2 linked regions of the Saccharomyces cerevisiae S288C genome follow. The protein of the gene in region 2 purifies or fractionates together with the protein of the main gene of each other region. This does not show direct contact. Each region holds a gene or a part of one and is shown on either strand. Other genes may lie near its edges.

What was found. The genes of interacting proteins can lie anywhere in the genome.
Region 1: the proteins of BUD22 (region 2) and EFG1 purify together in Saccharomyces cerevisiae (affinity purification with mass spectrometry; 3 studies listed by BioGRID). This does not show direct contact.

What each region holds. Positions count from the first base shown.
Region 1 is NC_001139.9:1,037,300-1,040,035, reverse strand, and holds EFG1 (Efg1p), read left to right. Parts: upstream 1-1,534; coding exon 1,535-2,236; downstream 2,237-2,736. Other genes in the region: TAF1 (histone acetyltransferase), read left to right, coding at 1-141; YGR273C (uncharacterized protein), read left to right, coding at 797-1,321; SLH1 (RNA helicase), read right to left, coding at 2,342-2,736. UniProt on the Saccharomyces cerevisiae protein: Involved in rRNA processing. Required growth at elevated temperatures, resistance to hydroxyurea and for cell cycle progression.
Region 2 is NC_001145.3:297,148-300,927, forward strand, and holds BUD22 (Bud22p), read left to right. Parts: upstream 1-1,720; coding exon 1,721-3,280; downstream 3,281-3,780. Other genes in the region: ERG5 (C-22 sterol desaturase), read right to left, coding at 3,722-3,780. UniProt on the Saccharomyces cerevisiae protein: Involved in positioning the proximal bud pole signal.

The DNA.
Region 1 (2,736 bases), on a different chromosome or scaffold from region 2:
GTAACTGACGGGAAAGCAGCCAGGAATAAAGGTAAGAACACTACAAGGAGATGTGCTACATGCGGACAAATCGGGCACATTAGAACAAATAAATCTTGTCCAATGTATAGCAGTAAAGATAACCCTGCTTCACCAAAGTAGATTCAGTATAACGATGTATTGATCGAATAAAACTTTTGTAAAGGTTTTGTATAATGTAACAATAAAGAAATGTACACTATGTTTCTAAACACTGGCAGTGATCAGATTGATAATTTATTGAGTCATATCCTTAAACGATGGACGTGGTGTGTGAATGTGCACTTTTGCAGTAAGATGAAAAGTGCATATTATTTGAGTTCCATTAATATAGCCCAACTCACTGATTAAACACAATAATTGTTGTCTTTGTGCTCGAGTATTTAAAGCTTGTATTTTTCCAGTCTGATTGGAAATCACAGAGGTTAAAACATAAAGGACAATAGCAGAAAAGGTTCCCTAATATGCATTTTTCATACTGGTTGCTCTTTTCCTTTACAAAAGCAAATTCTTACTCAAAATTTAATCTTTTTCCCTATAGTAACCTGTTTGTCTTGATAAATATAATATGATTTATGTAGTTTTATTACTATAATTATATCAAAATTTTAATTTGTGTCTATTTTTTCCTCAACTAAGTTACCTTTTTTCATTTATATGCATTTGTGACGCACTCAAAAGTGTGATGCTGTCGTCAATTTTATAATGTTAAGAATATTAAAGCAAAAGTTTCCTAAAGTAATATCTGAAGTGCTCTAAAATCATAGTTTATCAAAAAATGCAACATTTCGAAAGTTCAGATAAGATAGAAAAGGATGATGATACATCAAGAATTAAATTACGCTCTTCTTCTTTGGCCGCTCCAATCCTCGAGGCTGTTCAAGAAGCCCAGCCTTTTGAAGAAGCCACTTTCTCTAACTTACAGAAGATACATCCGTTAACAGAAAACTCAACTTGCAATGGTTATGTTATTTACGATAAAGATGGAAATTTGAAATCCATGAAGGATACATTTGGTAGGAATATAAAAACACCTGATATTTCAAATCCTACAAGAGCAAGAAATGAAAGGCCATTGGATACAATACGTGGATTTGAATACTCCATAACAAAAGATCCCCGCTGGTTGCAAGAGCTAGAAACATCTAAGTTGGGATTTAAACCTAGACCTGGATTTGCCGTCATTAATCAAGACTCACAGGCTTCAATAAATTTATCTCAACTGGAAGAAAAAGTTATGGAAAGCCAAAAAAAAAAGGAGAAAAGACACATATCACGGCTTTCTCGGTTACTCTGCAGATGAATATAAAGATAAGTACGCTAAGATTATAAAAAGTGCTTGAAGCTCAAAAATATGTATTCCTTTAATTTCTGCGGTACCCTATGCCGGAGCACTAAGAAAAACACATTCAAAAAAATTTTCATACTCATCTCATCTCTACAATTAAACAATACATAAAACAAATATCGTGACTTAGTTATTTTACTTATATCATTCAATAAACCTAATCAATCAATGGCTAAATTACAGAGGAAGAGAAGCAAGGCTCTTGGGTCATCTCTAGAGATGTCCCAGATAATGGATGCAGGAACAAACAAAATTAAAAGAAGAATAAGAGATTTAGAGAGGTTATTAAAAAAGAAGAAAGATATACTTCCATCCACAGTAATAATAGAAAAGGAAAGAAATTTGCAAGCTTTACGGTTGGAATTGCAGAATAATGAACTCAAGAATAAGATTAAAGCCAACGCTAAAAAATATCATATGGTGAGATTCTTTGAAAAAAAAAAAGCATTGAGAAAATATAACAGATTATTGAAGAAAATAAAAGAATCTGGCGCAGATGATAAAGATTTACAACAAAAGTTGAGAGCCACTAAAATTGAATTATGTTACGTGATAAATTTTCCCAAAACTGAAAAGTATATTGCACTATATCCGAATGATACACCATCTACAGACCCAAAGGGCGTAGAATTGACAAATCTTAGAAGAGAACAATTTCTTAAATTAGTAGCTGAAAGAATGGATGCGAACACCTTAAACGTATCTTTCGAAGAGATATTGAAGGGAAAGAAATTGGATGAAGATTCCATCGGATTAACATTATCACCTGATAAAGATCATGAGGATGGATCACAAGTATCACCTACACAGGATAGAAAAGAATTGGATCAAGTTGTGGGAGAAGATGAAAAGGATGACTTTTTTGAGTAAAAAAATTCTAAATGCGTTATGTAAGAAAATATATACGAAGATGTATACTAGATAGATTTCCACTGTTATCTTTCACAAAATAATTGTTGTTTTAATTGTGTCTCACTAAGAGATTAGTTTATGGACCATATCATAACGTAATCCTAAAGCGTCATTAATAAGGGAAAATTGCAATTCTTCGCCACGAATTTCTTCGGGAATAAATAGATCACAATGTATTATGACCTCTTTATTCATTTGTTTTGGTTGACACCTTTTAATCATCAGCAGTTCATCGCCTTTGTGTCCAATTAAAAACCATAGTTCTTTTTGTATCTTAGGGAATTTATCACAATATACTTCAAACCCATTATTATGCTTACTAGAAAGGTGCTTGCTATAAAATGTTAACACCTCGTTATTTTCCTGTTCTTCAAATTTCATGCCTTCTAAAACCGGTAATCTTTGGCAGACACTGACGAAACGTTTTTTCGTATCTTCGCTTTCTGTCATTCCAAAAG
Region 2 (3,780 bases):
ATGAGTGGGAGCTATGAAAGGCTGAGAGAGAAATTGAATCCATAAAACGTTTTTTTCCGTGTTCTTTTTTTCTTCTTTATCAAAGTTAGTTTTTCAGATATGTCTTTTGTCATTATCACAGGCTAATTATTCCCTTGATGACCAAAATAAATTTTTACAAACTAGAGTTTCTGAATCTTTTGTGATTAGAACGTTTATTCTTATTTCTGAGGTTTTTAATTAGCAATAAAGAAGAAAAAACTGAAAGGAAAAGTCTAAATAGAAATACAGTAGTATTTCTTCAATTTCTCTGCTCTCCTTTCATTTACCACACCCATTTCAATTTTCTTTTTATTCCATATTTATTCAAAGGTGTTTGTTCATATGATGATTATAACAAAAACAAAAGCTGGAATTACTGGCTGAACGAGTATATGTTGATACGTTTTTGCACTATCCTGACCTAGCAAACACCTTTAAAATAAATACTAGAAAGTTGACACATTTCCATAAATTGGAAGAATACATTTAAGCTTAGAAAACAGTAGTTTTTTAGTGCTATTCTTCCGTAGATTGATGTTTTCGATCTATTTGATACAATGGAAATGAGGATCCACAGCACTGGGCACTGAGGGGGAAACAAATATCCTTTCAAATGAGTGACAATGCTTTAGCGGGCCTAGAAAACCCGCGCAACTGATCCATTGTAAGTTTTTCTGAGGGCTAACAGAATTTTCTATAGGGAAGAATGGATTTTTTTCTCATTTTCGTATAATTATGTGAATTGGTTTTTATGATGAGATATTTATAGATGACGAGTCTGATCATTCGTGAAGACACAACTATTAAAATTACCATTCATGCCTTTCTGAAGCTGTTTACATTATTCTTTTCGATTAGCAAAGAATTTGGAAATAGAAAAAAATCGACAGATAACTAGTTCATCAGTTGATGTGTCTGTATTGCTTCCATGTTTTTTAAAGAAAATTTCTACCTTAGAGACGTCAATGCTGCAGAAGATGAAACAAATTACTCAAATAGACAAGCATATGTCTGATCTTCATGATTGAAAAGAGCAATTAGTGTCTGATGCAATTTAAACTAGAAAATTTATCTGAGAGAGATGAGAGATCGTACAAACTGTTTCAAGGTTTTTAACTTTTCTCCAATTTCAAAAATTGTTTATGATGATTTCCACATTTCACGACGGTCAACTGCGTTTTTCGAATGTTTATCGATTAACTTTGATGATATTTCGCCTGTGACAGGGCGTGGTACTGAGCTTTAATATTTTTAGCAAATTTAGAAATTGGGTCAAGCGAACCATTGTAATGCTGACTATTTGGACGACTCTAATCTCTTCAATATATTTGAGTTCAAATATATTAACTTGAGTAAATTTTCTCTTGCGTTAATTATAACTAATTGTGATGTGATGACAACTTCTTGAGCTATATATTTTCTTGAGAACATCAATGAAGAAAACGTCTCATCAAATGATTTGCACGTCAGTCTGATCACAAGCCATATAAAATTCTTTAAGTATTTTATCCATTCTACCTTTTTCATCTGTTAGTGATCGATTAAAGCAACACCCAGACATTACATGGCCCATATGGCAAAAATTTTCATCTCATCTACCTCATCACTGTGTGCATTTAGTGTATGAATGACTACTTTAAGCAATTTAACCAGTATATACGTATAAAGAGGTCAAGTGTACGGATAACCCAAAGGAAACATGCCTTCCGAATCATCCGTCTCTATCTACAAGCTTGATCAGTTGGAGTATCAGTACCATTATTTGACAAAATCATTACAGAAGTTTGAACCAAGATATCCAAAAACTGCCAAATTATACAATTGTATAGGTAAAAAGAACAAAAAGAAAATTGAAAAACTGTTAAACTCTTTAGAGTTGAAAACTTTGGACAAAGAACTAGATGAAAGTTACTCAAAGTTACTCAATAATAAGATTCACTATTACGAGACGCATTTATCAAAATGTATAAAAGAACAAATTCAGAAAATATCCAAAAAAAATTCTAGTAAAGTGAAGGATGCTCAAAAAAATAAATCACCCTCTATAGATATTGAAAAGATGCTTGCTACGCAGTTGTCATTAGATGATTTAGCACTCTTCATGACAAGATTTAGGCTGATCAAAATCTTACACCAGAGGATCAAACAAAAAAGCAAAAAGATTGAAGGTGATACGAATAATAAAACTTGGTTGAATAACAATGATTATAGTGGTTATATCAATGATAAGACAAGTAAGTGGAACCCAAGCAATATATGGAATGAAGTTATTACGAAGCTGCCAAGTTGTGAAAAGTTAAACGCACTAATTGGTCAAAGTAAAATCGTTCAAAATCTAACCGAATCATTCGATTTGAGTATTTGTCTCATATTTGGATTTGATGTAAGCGCTATGAAAGCAAAGAAGTATGGAGCAAGGGAGAAGACGGCCAATGCTAATCAGACGCACTCCAACATTGACTATGACACCGATGACGGCAATGAAAAGAATGCCATCGATAGCAAATCTAATGCGATCGGCGCACAAACTCAAAGCAATAAAGAAACAACGTCCGACAATGAGGATCTATTGATAAAGGAATACGAGGGAATGCTAGGCAGTTCAGGAGATGAAGGGGAAGGCGGCGGATACTTGAACCCTAATATCAATTACAATGAAGTAACAGATGAAGAACCTAGCGAAGCGTCATCCGATGAGGATGACAGTGACGAACGCTTCAGCGACTCTGAAGAGAATGAACCAAGGAGAAAAAAACCAAAATTGCATAATTTACCTGAACTAATGGCTGGTTATTACAGTGGAAATGACACTGAAGAGGAAAGCGATGAAGACAACAAAAATGTTAAGGGAAAGAAGAAAAAGAGAGACACAGCAGAAGACCGTACGGCCAGAGAGCAGATGTCAAACGAGCCAAAGAGGAAAAACAGACGTGGGCAAAGGGCAAGAAGAAAGATTTGGGAAAAAAAATACGGCTCACAAGCCAAGCACGTTCAAAGGGAATTGGAAAAGGAAATGGAAGATAGAAAGCAGAGGCAAATCGAGTACGAAGCAAGAGTAGCTAAGCGTGAAGCTAAAGCAGCATCATTAGAGGCCTCTAGGAGTAGGGAACGCGAAGACAGACGTACTGAAACGAACAATAAGAAAGAAAAAGAAAGTGCATCCACTGGAGAAGAACATCCTTCTTGGATTGCAAAAAGATTAGCTGAAGAAAAATTACAAAAAGCTAAATTTGAAGGTAAGAAGATCAAATTTGATTGAACATAACGTCTTCATCTCCTAACTTCATGTATAATAAAAACTATTAGCACATCTATTTTATATATGTACGCGTATATCTTACATCGTACCGTTATAGCATTTGAATTATTGAGCTTTTGTATCATCTACCGCTGTCATGCTCGCCTTCACGGAACTTAGTTATGCGAAAAAGAATTCAGGAAACCAAAGCTGGCAGGGTGAGTATTTGTTTGTAAAGTCGCACCTTTAGCAGATCATTAGCTGTAGCGTATGGAAGAAAACTAAATGAAATTGTTTATAAAACCTGAATATGATAAAAGAAATCTAAATAATAAATATGATTGCTATATAATAGTTATATTTGAAATGAAGAGAAAGGGAAGAAAATAAAAGTATTCAAAACGCCAACCCTTAATGAAGTAAATATGATTTATTGTCTGGACAAAGTTCTGTTTTTCCCCATTATTCGAAGACTTCTCCAGTAATTGGGTCTCTCTTTTTGAAAGTCAGTAACAAATCAT